Cricetulus griseus: one gene and its partner. The protein of the gene in region 1 purifies or fractionates together with the protein of each later gene. This does not show direct contact. Links are inferred from orthologs where the notes say so. Each region holds a gene or a part of one and is shown in the gene's direction. Other genes may lie near its edges. The genes, in order: protein argonaute-3 and Tnrc6b.

Region 1 (8,329 bases):
AGTATTTGGTATTTCATTGTGCTTTGCTTTGGCGTCTGTCATGTATCCATATACCTATTTGCTATCCTGATATCATTAAGTTGTTCATATATTTTACTCATTTTAAATTTGTATTGTTTGTCTCGGGCTATAAAAGCTTATAAAATTCAAGTTCTTTATTGGAGATATGTATGTGCATATATGTGTGTGTATTCATATATATATACATATATATATGTATATATATATATATCAATTAATTTTTCCTAATCCATGGCTTGCCTTTCACTTTGGATAGGAAAAGTTTTTCGTTTTTATGTTCAATTTATTGATTTAAGGTTAAATTTATTGCCTTTTTTACTTTTCTAGTTAATGCTTTTTGTATAGTATTTAAAGAAATTTTCATTGTCTGATGGCTGCTGAGGTGCTCAGGGGGCACAGACATCTCTGCATCTGAGATTTTGTATTTTGTAGTTCTCCTTCTGAGAACAATCAGTGCTATCAGGAATAAAGCCAGGGTTTTAGCCTGCTTCTTGAACCCTGTCCTTGAGTTCCATCCATCCGTCCATCCATCCATTCATCCAGTTATTTAATGTGCTCTTCTTTTTTTAAAAAAACTGATTGTGTTCTTACAGGATAGCAGTAAGCATTGTTGTAGGCACTGAAGCTGTGGCAGTTAACAAGATACACAAACCTTTGTGACCTTTGGAAGTATGTTACCTCAAAACAGTATTTGGTCAGGGGAAAACCTCATATACTTTTGTATTGGCAAGAACCTCCAAGACCTTTTCACCTCCCTGCTTTAAATTTTAATTCATGAGCCTTTCACATGGGCTTACTCTAAAGAGGTGTGGTTCTGCATAGCAGAAGAAGGCAAGAACACATCAGAGACATTTGTTAGATTTTATTGAATCTTAGGGCCCAGATCTTGTTTAAGTGTTCAAAAAGACACTACCTTGGGGCTGAAGAGGTGGATCAGTGGTCAAGGTCATGGGCTGCTCTTCCAAAAGACCCAGGTTCTATTACCAGCACCCACATGGCTGCTCACAACTGACTAACTCTAGTCTGACACCCTCTCCTGGCCTCCGTGAGCACCACACACACACCGATAGAGTTATATGCAGACCAAACATCTGTACACATCCAAAATAAAACAAAACCACTCATTTTGTGACCACACTGTGTTTTCTAGAAGAAGCTAGGTAAGCTTGCATTCATTTAAGGAAGTAGTCACAGAATCAAGAGATGAGGGTATAATAGGCCCTTGCACAAATTTGGGATTCACTCTTCAGGCTTTGATCATGCCATCAAGCTCTGGATTGACTTTTAAGATGTGCCGATGGATCTAGTGATTTGATATTTTAAACATTTGGAAGGTCATTTTCAGTCAACAGGAAGAAGAAAGTGAGATGGGGCTTGGAGTCCCCACCATTTATTGTATAGTAAGCATGTCCATTAAGTGCATCAAAATTGTCAGCATGTAAATATTTTTGTTATTAACATTTGGGAGAGTTTCTTCTGAGCTTTCTGTGCACTATACATGTCGATCTTTCTGATGAGGGAACTGAAGCCCAAAGAGATAAAGTGGCTGATCCAAAAGTCCATATAACCGGGAGGGAAAGGATCCTGAAAATAACGTTTCTTTTTAAAATGTTATATATGCATATTTAAAGTTAAAACATCACTGGTTAATTGGGACACAGGGAAAATAATGAGTCACTGCTAAGCCTGCATAAAATAGTATCTGTTTTCACTAAGCTAAGTAATTTTAAAAGGATGGTCTGCTTGCATGTGCTGGATCTGGCCTCCGATTCTGATGGGTTGGAGGCAGGTCAAAAAGTAGTCCACATCCTACAGATCGGGTAGACCAGTGTCCAGGAAAGGCCACCGGAGATGACTTAAGTGAAAGTTTGGCATGGGATGGGAAAGGGAGAATTCCTGGCCAAGGGAACCCAAAGGCTCCAATTCAGCAGAAAAGCACCTGACCAGGTCGGGGGAGCTGGAAGTGGACCAGCTTAGTCTAATACAGTCTTGAGGGGTCCAGAGGGAAAAGGCCTTGGCTCCTTAGCCAGGTGCTTTAACGCCAGAAGGGAGTTTATGTTCTTCAAGGGGATTAGGAGAGTGTTTAAACACAGAAATGATTCCTTCTTGTACTCTATGTAATGTCCTGTTTCTTAGTCTTCTGTTTTAAAACTACATTGAATTTATTTTAACCATCTTTAAAAAAAAAAAAGTTGTCAAAGCAACCTCGGGTACTTAGCGAAATCTCTTGTGGTTACCGCCTAGTACTTGTGCTCAGAGCGGGCGTGGCAGGCGGAGCTAGGAGGGAGGATGTCCTTGGATGGTCATCTGTCATTCTCAGGTAGAACTGTCCCTCAGGTAAGCTCCTCGGGGCTGGCAGTGACGTCGCCTCAGGCAGCGGCCCCGACCGGTCCCCGCCTGGAAGGCTGTCACGGGGGAGGCTGGCCTCTGGCTCGGGATTGTCACCGTCAGGCACAGCGGGTGCTGGGCGGCCGCGCTCTCACGGCTCCGCCCCGGCCTGTCACCCGCTCGCTCACCCTCCCACACCTCCCCAGAGTCCTCCATGCGCTGGCCAGGCCGGCTCGGACGTTGTCACCGCACAGATCCGGCTCCAGGCGAGTTGCGGACCCCGCGAGCGGGGCACGGTCCGGGGAGCGGAACTGACGCGGGCGGGCTTCCGGGGGCAACCCGGGAGAGCGAGCAACGGCGGTGGCCGGCGGTTTGGGGAGCTGTGCACGCGTCAGCAACCGTGTGCGACGCAAGTTCCGGACCGGGCTTCAGCGTCCTCGCCTCACGCCTCTCTCTGTTCTCGCCTAGCTGCGGGCTGTCTCCCGACAGTGGCTCTTCTGCCCTGAGCTTTCGCAGGGCGCCCCTTCCTCGCCTCAGTGGCCGCACCGTTCTCTCGTGAAGCACTGCCCCCAGCTCCATGAATGGAAATCGGCTCCGCAGGTAAGTCGGGGCTGCCGGACGGGGCAGGTAGGGTCGTCACCCAACGGTCGTCCCCCGAGCATCCTTGCGCCTTCATTAAGGGAGCCGTTGGTTTTCGGGCCCAACGCCGCTGGCTTCTCCACAGCACCGCAGCTACCCTCCCGGGGCCACTGAGTTGGCAAAACTACCAGGAGGGTTTAAGTTTGGGTTTATCTAGGCGATGTCATCCCCCTGGAGTGCTTCTTCTCCCCTGAGGATACAGAGGAGTTTGCCCTTGCTTTTGTAATTCCATTTGGAAACGTCAAGGCAGCGCTTATCCCTTAGCCGGGTCGCGCGTCCCATGTAGGCTGGATAGTCAGTCCCCTTTTCTACCTCTTAAAGTAGTCTGAAGGTATTCTGAGATCACCGATGGGCTTAAGTTTAAGTCAGATGCAGGACGGCATTGCTTGCATCCCCAGACTCACTCTGTCTGTGGCAGTGTGGTATGTAGTTTTCCGAGGAGCTTGGCGAGGTCCTCTCGGTCTGGATCACCACTTATGTGAGAAGGTAGATCTTCAGAATGTTGGCACTGTTTCCCCCGATTTTCTGTTCCCTACGGCAGCAGTTGTCCACATACCTGGAAATCTGGGGTGTAGGAAAACGGTTTTGTCTCTGGAGAGAAAAATGGCAGCCTTGAGAAAGGAAGCCAGCCTGGACAGTACTTGTCCTAAGAAAGAAAGAGAGGAGAGAGAGAGAGAGAGAGAGAGAGAGAGAGAGAGAGACGAGAGAGAGAGAGAGAGAGAGAGAGAGAGAGAGAGAGGGAAAGAAAGAAAGAAAGGTCAGCGATTCTGAAGTAACTGATAAAGCAACAAGAAATAGGTGTTACATAACGGTTTGCTTACCAAGTAATCACCCTTGTTCCCTAAATTTGAAAGTTCTCTTCATCCACAAGATCAGTAATGGTATAGTTTCTATAATATTTGGGGGGATTGCCTTGTTATTATTGTATAACAAATCCCTGAATTTCATATCTTCCCTTGCCAATTTGAAAGTCCCCAAATATGTAATGTAAACTAATGTAAAAAAAAACAAACTAGTGACATAATTGTCAAAATGGATACAAAAAGGCATTTTCTGGATTACATGGAATCTCTTTCTACTCTGTTTCTACCATTTTTCCCTTTATGTTCCATTTTTTCTCTTCTCTCTTTCTTTCTTTCTTTTTTTTTTTTTTTTTTTTTTTTTTTTTTTTTTTTTTTTTTTTTGGTTTTTCGAGACAGGGTTTCTCTGTGGCTTTGGGGGCTGTCCTGGAATTAGCTCTTGTAGACCAGGCTGATCTCGAACCCACAGAGATCCGCCTGCCTCTGCCTCCCGAGTGCTGGGATTAAAGGCATGTGCCACCAATGCCCGGCTTCTCTTCTCCATATTTTTCTAAAAAGCAAAATTTGTCTAGACTGAAGTTTTAGACTCTTATTATCAATTTGTGTATTTCCATTGTCTTTTCTTTGTTCTTAAATTTTACATTTTATTTGTACTTTTCTTACTTTATAAGATATCTGATTATTTCCAGAGATCTGACTTTTACATAACTACTCTATTGTTAAGCCTGAAAAACCAAATATGAAATTAAATATTTTGTTAATCATCTACCTAAAACTTTTGAAGATATCTCCCCCTAATGAGGTATTCCCCCTTTAGGTTTTTCATGTGAAAATACGATCTAGAAAGTACTTGTGATATCAGACCACCTAGTCAGCTGATACAGTTAGCAAAGCCTGGTTCAGAAAATCAATTTTACCTTTTCCTTTGGGGTGTTCTTCTGATAGAATATAGAACAATTGATGAGTCTTCACATAAGGGTAGATATAGTTAACTAGCATGGCATAGTGGCTCACACTTTGGTCCCAGCACTCAGGAGGCAGAGATGGTTCAATCTCTTTGAGTTGGAGGCCAGCCTGGTCTACATAAAGAGTTCCAGGCTAGCCGGGGCTACATAATGAGACCCTGTCTCAAACAAACAAACTAACTAAAATTAAAACAAAACAGTTTATCAACCATGCTTGGTCATCTTGAAACATAAAAGTCATTCTTCAATAAGGTTTATGCATGATTGACTGTTGTCTGGCATCAGGAGCAAGACTGTTACCATCAAAAATGGTTCTTTGGGCTAGTCATTGTGGCACATGTCTTTAACCCCACTACTTGGAAGGCAGAGGCAGAGGCAGGCGGTTCTTTGTGAATTCAATATCAGCCTGGTCTACAGAGTGAGTTCCAGAACAGGCTCCAAAGCTATACAGAGAAACTCTGTCTCAACAAAACAAAACAAAACAAAACAATTAGATATTCTTTAATAGTCTGTTAGGTTAGTACTGAAACTTTTGGTTCTCAAATTCTGTTTTTCTTTTGTATGGAGATTCTCAGGAATCATTTACCGACAGATTGTTTATTATGTGGATACACAGAAATCTTAATTTTATTTAGTGCAATAGAGGACATTAAATACAAGTATAATAATTTTATGATGGCGCATTCCTCACTAAAAATATTTATCCTTCCTTTCTTATTCACCTGAAATATTACAAGGGTTTTATTTTATTTTTGAGACTAGGTTTCATTGTGTAGTTTAAAGATGTGTGCCACCCTGCCTAGCTTTGTAAGGGATTTTTTCAGTGTTTTCTTATACAGCCCACTAATTTAGTTCCATCTGTCTTAGGGTTTGTATTGGTATAAAGAGACACTATAACCTTTTTGTTGGTTTATTTTTGTTTTTGTATTTTCGAGACAGGGTCTCTCTATGTAGATCTGCCTGTCCTGGAACTCACTCTGTATACTAGGCTGGCCTCAAACTCACAGAGATCCACCTGCCTTAGCCTCCTGAGTGCTGGGATTAAAGGTGTGTGCCACCACTGCCTGACTAAAACAAATACTCTTAAAAGCTGAATCATTTCTCCATCCCAAAGATTTTGGCAGCTCTTAAAAAGAAACGAGTTGGGTTACCAGGGAAACTCGTACAAACAAAAACATTTAATTGGGGCTGGCTTACAGTTTCAGAGGTTTAGTCCATTATTGTCATGGTGGCACACAGTCAGACATGGTGCTGGAGAGGTAGCTAAGAGTTCTACATCTTGATCAATAGGTAGCAGGAAAAGAACTGAGACACTGGGCCTGGCTTGAACATTTGAGACCTCAAAGTCTGTCCCCAGTGACACACTTCCTCCAACAAGGCCACACCTCCCAATAGTACCAGTCCCTATGAACCTCTGGGGCCATTTTCATTCAAACTACCATACCGTCTTAACATTGATTTGACCAAAAAATGGACAAATTCATTTTTTGAAGTAATAATTTAGGCTTCTTGCCTTGATCCCTGAAGGGTACTTCTGATGAAACTGTTTTTCTGGTCTAATTAAAATTGAGCTGAATTTCTAGTCTAAAACAATTGTGCTTTGTTTTCAAATAAAATGAGAATAGGAAAATCAGGAAATGTTTATTTAAATGCTATTTATTTTTTGAAATCTAGTACTCTAGTTTATAATTTTAGGTGAAGTCCACCTGTTGTTCAGAAAGGAATTACACTTAAATGTAAGTATTCCCTAGTAACTTATGGGAAGACAGGGAGTTTCAGTTATGGATTGCTTTCCTAGCACACTCTAGCATTGAAGAGGAAGATGCTTATGGAGGGAAAACATTTATCATAAGTTACTAATATGTAAGTTGATTTTTCATCCGATCTTGCAAAAAGGGGAAGATCTTGTTAAACTTCTTTTTAAGAGTTATTTACTTTTACCATGTATTTGACTTCATGTATGTATTTTGTATACCATGTGTGTGCCTGGTGCTCACAGAATCCAGAAGAGGGAATTGAAACCCTCTGGAACTGGAGTTACAGAGTGTAGTGAGCAGCCATTTGTGGGTGCTGGGAACTGAACCTGGGTCCTTTGCAAAAGCAGGAAGTTCTCTAACTGTTGAGCTATCTCTCCAGCCTCCTTAAGTTAAACTTTTACTTCCTCTCTGAACATAATTGTCCCAGAGCCCTTGTATTTCTTTATTAATAACTTTTTTTGAGTCAGTTGGAAGCCAGCAAGATGGCTGGCTCAGTAGGTAAAGGCAAAAGAACTTGTTGTCCCATCAATACAGACATTCAAGGATACAGGCATGTGGGTGTACATGCAACAAAATAGTAAGTAAGTGAATAAATGAATAGACAAAGTGCAGGAAAAACAAAACTCATTTGACATTAAATTGGAAAAGGAAAGCTGATGTAAAGGAAGCTAGAACTAAATCAAGAATGAGACTCGTTCTGTCATCTCAGCACTCTGGAAGGCTGAGCAAGGAGAATTGTGACTAAAGCCAGCCTGGGATACGTAGTGAGACCTTGTCTCAAAATTTTTCTTTTAAAGAAATCATAGGTTTGTATTATGAAAAATGGTTGATTGTATTTTAACATTTTCAAATATGAATATAATGGTCTTTGATTATAATCACCCCCTTTTTCCTCTTAAAGAAATAATGTAGGGCCCAGTATGGTGAAAACCCAGCCCAGGGAGGATAAAGGAAGGCTCTCTAAGATTATGACAGCCTAGTCTGCACCGTAAGTTTCAGGTCAGCCAGGACTATATAATGAGACCCTGTGTCAAAAACTTTCAAGATTTCAAAGAACAGATGAAAACAAAGCAAAACAAATTTAACCTTAAAATGTGGTTTTATAAACATAATGAAGATATTTAAAAGCAACCACAAATCTGTCATTATGATAAACCAATTTTTATTTTAAAAATCAAATTAGAGGGGCTGGAGAGATGGCTCAGAGGTTAAGAGCACTGGGTGTTCTTCCAGAGGTCCTGAGTTCAATTCCCAGCAACCACCTGGTGACTCACAAGTATCCGTTATGAGATCTGATGCCCTTTTCTGGTGTGTAGATATACATAGAAGCAGAATGTTGTACACACAATAAATAAATAAATAAATAAATAAATAAAATTAGAAACTAGTCAACTATAACAAAGCTGCTGTGAAAAACAGCTAAAATGAATAAAAATATAAGTAGATGCTATTTTCTTTTATTCTTTGGGCAGATTTTGCCTAAATAGTTGGTATTAATATATATTAGCTATGTTTTTCATTGGGAGCACTGCATTGGTTTGGGTCTGTAGGCCTGGCCCAACAGTATGCAAAGAGGCCTGGGGCCCTGTAAAGGGAACAAATAGTTCCTGGAAGAGTTCGCTCTTGTATATGGAAAAACCCTAGCTCAGAGGAAATTCTTTCCACATTGTCTTTTGGATGTTGGATTCCAGTTGAAAATTATTTTACTTTACAATATAGATCTCTAGTTTTATTTGGTTTCTAAATTTTTAAAATACTTACTCTACCTGAAAGAGGGACTGGTCAGTGTTTTTGCTAATCTAAACGAAACATACTTTTA
Region 2 (7,566 bases), about 350 Mb from region 1:
GGAAGAGATGGGTTAATCCCGATGAGCATTGAGGCAACCAGTGATAGCTTACTCTTCCCCCAAAATCTGACTTAGAGACAAAATGAGAGTCAAAAAGATTAACTTGCCAGTAATACCTATTGAGTTCCTCATTATTTGGTGGGGTTCGGGGGAGGGCTAATTGGACTTTTGTCATTTATTTGTTTATTGAGACTTCATGAAGAATGGAAAACTAATAGCAGCTGGAGAGATGGTTCAGTGGGTAAAATGCTTGCTGTACAAGTATGGAAACCTGAGTTCAGTCCCCTGCACCCACATTAAAAAAAAAGAAAAAAAAATCAGGCAGGGCTGGAGAGAGGGCTCTTCAGGGGTCCCAGGTTCAATTCCCAGCACCCACATGACAGCTCACAACTGTCTGTACCTCCAGTTCCAGAGGATCTTGCACCTTCACAGACATACGTGGAGGAAAAACACAATGCTCTTTAAAAAATAAATAAATCAGGCACAACTCAACACACCTTTAATCCCAGCATTCAGGAAGTAGAGACAGGTGTAGCTCCATGAGTTTGGGGCTAGCCTGGTCTACATAGCGAGTTCCAAGACAGCCCATACATAGTGAAACCCTGTTTCAAAAGAAAAAAAACCTGAGCTATGGTACGTACAACTAATCCCAGTGCTTGGGTTGCAAAGACAAAAAGATCCCTGGGCTTTGCTTGTAGCCAGTCTATCCAATTCAGTGCTCTACAGGTTAAGGGAGAGACAGTATCTTAAAAAGAAAGAAGTTGTATCGCATCAACAATGCAACAGTAATACTATATGCTAGCTGAGTGTTCCTACAGGCATTATAGTAAACTTTAGCGTGAGCTCCTTTTTGAGTTTCTCCTACTGTGTAAATGGGTTACCCTCATTCAATAGATAAACTGAGATGATTTTGAATGAATTCCTGCAGGCTGGCATGGGTTAAGACCCTATGTCAAATACCAAACAAAAATATTGTTGTATTTCCCTGTGTCATACTTAACAGGACTTCATTTACCTGTAAGCTGGCACAGTACTTATTACACAAACCGGATGACCTGGTCTGATCCCCAGATCCCACAATAGGAGAGAACCTCCACATATGTACCATGTTGTCCACATGTACACCCACATTCACACCTGTACATGTACACCATAATATAATAACGAAATGATGAAATTTTTGTCTAATGCTTGCATTTGTTTGACTAAGAACCCTTTAGGTTGTTTTCTTTTGATACAGGGTCTCGCGTAGCTCAGGCTAACCTCACATTCATTTCACTCCTCCTCTCACATGCTCTTATCATAGGGATGTGCCAAAACTGGCTAAGTACTGAGATACTAGTTACCTAGGTTGGTCTGCGTTCCCTTGGGCTGAAGCAGTCCTCTGCCTCAGTCTCCCCAGCAGCTTGCCCACATAGACACGTGGCTACCTTCTCTGGCACTCATCTAGTTCTCTCATTCCTATAAAAGCCCAGATTTCAGGAATTATCTCCTTGCAGTTGGACATTGACCTGAGACTTCCCTAAGACTGAACTTGCCTATCCTTATAACTTTCTTTTCTCCCTAGCTCAGTCCCTTACTATTTACCTCACCTTTCCTCTCTTCCTCATTCCCTGGGTCCCAGGCCCTGACTCTCACTCTCAGGAATATATTTGACAGCTGTAATTTTCCTCTCCACTCACTTGTTCCGCTCTGGTGTCACCCTAGTTTGTGCTGAGTCTTTTGGAAACTTTGTTGCAGCTTACTTAGTCATAATGTACCTGTGGCCTCTTACTTCTCTGCCCCCATTAAAACTGGAAAGGCCTTACACTGAACCTGAGTTTTCTTTTTCCTGCATCCCTGAGCACATCCTTTAATGTAAACCCTTCAGATCTATCTTTGCAGAGCCTCTGCCAGCAGCCTAATGCTTTCTGTCTTCTGTGTATTGAACATATGTTCTGTTGCCAAGGTTAAAAATTTGGTTGTTCTGTTTCCCATCTAAACCAGAGGCTCTGCAAGATAATTGTGTTATCTACATTACTGTCAGGTACCTTAAGCATAGTAAGCAATAGTACTTATTTGATAACTTTGTTTTAGATTTGTTTATTTTATTGTATGTGTGTGAATGTTTGCTTGTATATATGTGTACCACATATGTGCCAGAGTGCCCACAGATGTCAAAAGAGGGCATGGGGTCCTCTGGAGTTTCGGTGGTTGTGAGCCACCATGATGGAAATCAAACTCAGATTTTTGCAACAGTAACAAGTATTCCAAACCACTGAGCTATTGCTCTAGCCTTATTGATTATTTTTAAAATCAATGTTGGTGTCAAGGCACAAGCAGTGCATTATTTTCTAGTTTTGTTTTGTTTTGCTTTTCATGGTAGTCAGTGAACATTGAGTGAGTACTCCAATTCTATTTGTGTTAGCAGTCTAATAACCCTGTCTATTATCTTGACCTCCTTAGGAATACTTTCTCCATGAATTTATCTTCTCTTTTCAGTTGTATTTACCCATGAAAGTAGTAGGAGATTAGTTACCTTATTAAATCTTGGTTGGTTCAAAGTCATTTTAAAATTTCATATTCAGCATGCTCTAAGAACAATTATTTTCATACTGGTCCCCCCCCCTTTCTTTTTTTCCTGACACACAGGGTTTCTCTGTGTGGCCCTGGCTGTCCTGGCATTCACTCTATAGACCAAGCTGGCTTCGAATTCACTGAAATCCGCCTGCCTCTGCCTCCCTGTTGCTGGGATTAAAGGCATTTACTACCACTGCTCAGCTCATACTGCTCCTCTTAAAATATATGCTTCCTGTCGGGTGGTGGTGGCACATGTCTTTAATCCCAGCACTCGGGAGGCAGAGGCAGGCGGATCTCTGTGATTTCGAGACCAGCCTGGTCTACAAGAGCCACAGAGAAACCCTGTCTCGAAAAACAAATATATATATGCTTCCTTCTACTTTTCAATGTTTTGAAACAGTTATAGAATATATATGTGTGTGTGCAGATAAAATTTGTGTCTATTTGTGGGCAAATGCCCATGTAACCTGATGCTTACTGACTTTTCTCTTTTCACAGCAAAGTTCCCTGATTACAAATCCACGTGGTCCCCAGATCCCATAGGACACAACCCCACTCATCTCTCCAACAAGATGTGGAAAAACCACATCTCCTCCAGGAACACTACACCGCTGCCCCGCCCACCTCCTGGCCTGACCAACCCCAAACCGGCATCTCCCTGGAGCAGCACAGCACCCAGATCAGTCAGGGGGTGGGGGACACAGGACTCTCGGATTGCCTCGGGTGAGAAGGATCTGCTAAGCAGGAATAGCTGTTTAGCACTATGGGGAGGGCTGACCATGGAGGAGAGCATGGTTGTCTGGTAGAAGAAAAACTATCTTTTGATTGAAAAGTTGCAATCAGTACAGATGAAGGGACCCAGAACCTCTATAGGGTACTTGAAGTACAAATGAGCAACTGTAGAGGGGGAGGACAGTGGGAGGGAATACTATCTCACAAAAAGCAAATGAATTTACTGGGATCAAGGACTAGAAGAGACCATGAAGGTCAGTGTTAGACAGACAGACAGACAGACGGTCTGAATGAAAATGTTCCCCTTTATAGTTCCCTGAGAATGTTGGTGATTCGGGTGTTCTTTTTGTTTTGTTTTTCTCACTCTTCCTCATCCTTTTTCTGTTGTTTGCAGCCTCTACCTGGAGTGATGGTGGCTCTGTCCGTGCTAGTTACTGGCTGGTTCTTCACAATCTCACTCCACAGGTAACCTTATTTTCTTGTGCTTTTCTAGATAAGGCTTGATTTTATTTAAAGAAAGAGAAACTGGGCATTGTGGCACACACCTTTAGTCCCCAGCACTTGGGAGGCAGACGCACGGAGATGTCTGTGAGTTCAAGGCCAGCCTGGTCTACATAGCAAGTTCTAGGGGTACATGGAACTTTTGTCTCACAAAAAAGGGAAGAAACAGTAGAGGAGCTTGGCAGATACTAAAGCTTATTTATGAGACTAGAGAGATGGCTCATGGCTTAACAGATGACTGTTAAGAAAGCTTGCTGGTTATGCGGAACACCCAGTTTTATTCCCAGCACCCACATCAGATGCCTGTAACTCCAGATGTAGGAGGTCTGATGCCTTCTTCTAGCCTATAAAGAAAGCAAATTTATTTCATGGCCACTGCAGAGGTCCTTTCAACAAGATGGGTGCTGGCTCCTAGGCCTCACCCTCACCCTTACCCTCACCCTCCTGGTGCTAGAGGTGAGCAGGCGCTATGAAGCAGTGAGAATGAGGTCGTATGACCTACTGGTCAGGAAATGTGTTGTATAGATATGCCACTTGGATGGTATGTTTTAACCACATACAAAAACTTGTTACCAGAAAGGACTTGGAAGATGGCCAAGCTGGTAAAGTTCCAGTTGGAAATTTCTTAGGCCTTTTAACATCCTAGTGTCTAATAGGATTCTCTATGGAGAAATGCATTTCTGTTTTGTTTTTTTTTTTTAAATGAACACTCTAAGATCTTTTTATTTATTTATTATGTATACAACATTCTGCTTCCATTTATATCTGCACACCAGATATAAGGGAAGGTGGATCTCTGTGAGTTCGAGGCCAGCCTGGTCTATAGATATAGCAAGTTCCAGGACAACCTCCAAAGCAATACAGAGAAACCCTGTCTCAAAAAAAAGGGGGGGGGATTAGAGCTGCCTAGTAAAGATACTAATGTCACTCCTAGTTTAAAGTGGTTAGTAGAGCAAAGTTGATGCATGGGGCAGTTGACTTTCCATCACCAAAAATGTGTTTAAAGGAAATCTGTCTCCTGAAAAGCAATTTGTGCCAATTGCTGACGTACTTACGATTATTTTCTGTGAAGAGCTAACATGAACTGCTGAGTTTTATTCTTCAGACTTCCCACTGGTGCTGAAAATGGAACTTAGGACCTTATGTATGTTAGGCCACTGTTCTACCACATTACACAGCTTTTTAAGGCATTCCCAATTGTAACATTCCTTTTCCAATACAGTGAACTGAAGTGTTGGAATTAAGGCTTAAATAAATATATTTAAGATCTTGTTGAAAATTAATCCATAGAGTAAATAGGTTTGTTCATAAAACTCCTGTGTTGGAAAAATTATCCATAATCCCTTCAGCCCTTGGTCAAATGGACTTAGTCAAAAAGGAGTTCCCCTCTTTATATGGTCAGAGGAATGTAATAGTATTGGAGTGAATTGTTTTTGGACTAGGCCAGTTTTAACTGTCAGTACTTTTCTTGTCTGTCTCTGTGAGATTATTTATTGAGGAGGCAGAAAAAATAAAGTGTTAGTAATGATGTTGATAACTTTGCATGGTATCTTTAATTCTCATTTCTGTCCTTTTGAGCTCTACAAATCAGCACACACGTGTTTGTTGATCTCTTTTAAAAATGAGGCTTATGTTTTATGGCACTTATGTTTTTATTTTTAGTTATTTTTATATAGAAACATTACAAAATAGGAATAATGGGTCTTAGCGTCGTTCTTTAATTGTCCTAGAATTAATTTCCCATGCCTCTTCTACATCTTAGCTCACAAGTGTTGTTATCTCTTAGATTGATGGGTCAACCTTGAGAACGATCTGCATGCAGCATGGTCCACTGCTGACATTCCATCTGAATCTAACCCAGGGCACTGCCCTGATCCGGTACAGCACCAAACAAGAGGCAGCCAAGGCCCAGACTGCATTGCACATGTGAGTACTGTATCCTGCAGACGCATGATGCACACAGGAGTGTTCTGGCCCTGAACAATGACAAACATGCACAAAAGAACCTCAGTCATGGCCAGGCATTGGTGGCGCAAACTTTAATCCCAGCACTCAGGAGGCAGAGGCAGGCGGATCTCTCTGAGTTCGAGGCCAGCCTGGTTTCCAGAGCGAGTGCCGGGATAGGCTCTAAAGCTACACAGAGAAACCCTGTCTCAAAAAACCAAAATAAAAGAAGAACCTCAGTCATGTATACATGCAAATACTAAGGTGTGCCAGTCTTTCTACCTAACTCTGTTTGCATTGTCTAACGTATGTCATAGGCTCATAATCAGAACTTCAAATGTAAATAATTTGTACAGTAAATAGATTGTACCACAAACAAAAACAATGTTTATGAAAATGCAAAACATCCCAAATGCTATTATTTTTCATGGTAGAATCTAGCTGCTTACTGTGGTAACATGTAGATAAGAAATTTTATTTGTTTTTTTGTTTGGGGTGGTGGGTGGGTTGGTTGGTTGGTTGGTTTTGGTTTTTCAATACAGGGTTTCCCTGTGTAGCCCTGATTTTCCTGGAACTCACTCTGTGGCTGACCTACAAATCATAATCCACCTGCCTCTGCCTCCGGAGTACTGGGGTTAGAGTCATGTGCCACCACTATCTGAACTACCTGGCCTTCTTTGACTCTTTGTTGTTGTTTTGGTTTTGTGGTTTTTGCTCTTGTTTTGTTTTTCAAGACAGAGTTTCTCTGTGTTGCTTTGGAGCCTGTCCTGGAACTCACTTTGTAGACCAGGCTGGCTTTAAACTCATAGAGATCCTCCTACCTCTGCCTCTCAAGTACCAGGACTAAAAGCATGTGCTACCAACACCCAGCTTTGTTTGACATCTTGAGACAGGGTTTCTCTGTGTAGCCCTGGGCTATCCTGAACCTCACTGTGGAAACCAGGCTGGCCTTAAACTCATAGAGATCTGCCTCTTCTGCCTCCCAAGTGCTGGGGTTAAAGGTGTATGCCACCACACCCAGCCCAAAGAAGAAATTATATGTAACGGGGTTTTGCATGAAGTGGACAGGAGTGGATCAGACTCTGACTATCCTCTTTCCCTGGTGAACAGAAAAATGTTGACTCCATTGGGCCACAGACACCATGACAAAAATCCACAGAGAACACAAACAAGTGATAGTCAAGCCCCAGCAGCAAGTCCTTCCCCTGGGATGGAAATGGTGCTCTAGGTGTTGGCACTGGCTTACCTGATATTAGTGGATGTCCTTCTTTATCTCACATGGAGCAAACAAAACAAAACAAAAGAAACCTGACAATCTTCTTGCTTTTGAAGACTTGGGATTTTTTTAAAATACTTTAGATTCACAGCAAAATTGAGAGGATGGGACAACTTCCCATAATAACCCTGACCCACTCCCTCAATAATACCTTATCAATATCACTCACTAGAATGGCCCATTTGCTACAGTTTATGAACATTCATTGGTAACTAATCCACCAAAGTCCACAGTTTACATTAGGGTTATGGTTACATTCTGGATCACTGTTGGTGGTTGATGTGAACAAATATATGTTGATAGATCCAATATCACATCATTGTGTCGTTCAGGTTAGTGCCATTGCCCAAAATATCCTCTGTGCTCTATATTTACTCTGTGTCTCTTATCTCTGTCTCCGACACACACACACACACACACACACACACACACACACACACACACACACACACACACACACACACACACACACGCAACCAACCATACAGATGGACTGGAAATGTAGCTTAGTTCTTGCTTAGCATACATAAATCCCTAGGATCAGTCTCCAATAC

What was found.
Region 2: the proteins of protein argonaute-3 (region 1) and Tnrc6b purify together in Homo sapiens (affinity purification with mass spectrometry; 6 studies listed by BioGRID and IntAct, with this or other methods). This does not show direct contact. The link is inferred for Cricetulus griseus from reciprocal best matches to the Homo sapiens genes AGO3 and TNRC6B.

The regions. Positions count from the first base shown.
Region 1 is NC_048595.1:26,615,385-26,623,713, forward strand, and holds the start of protein argonaute-3, read left to right. Parts: upstream 1-2,742; 5' UTR 2,743-2,930; coding exon 2,931-2,949; intron 2,950-8,329.
Region 2 is NC_048595.1:378,074,106-378,081,671, forward strand, and holds part of Tnrc6b (trinucleotide repeat-containing gene 6B protein), read left to right. Parts: intron 1-3,057; coding exon 3,058-3,282; intron 3,283-3,685; coding exon 3,686-3,756; intron 3,757-5,578; coding exon 5,579-5,718; intron 5,719-7,566.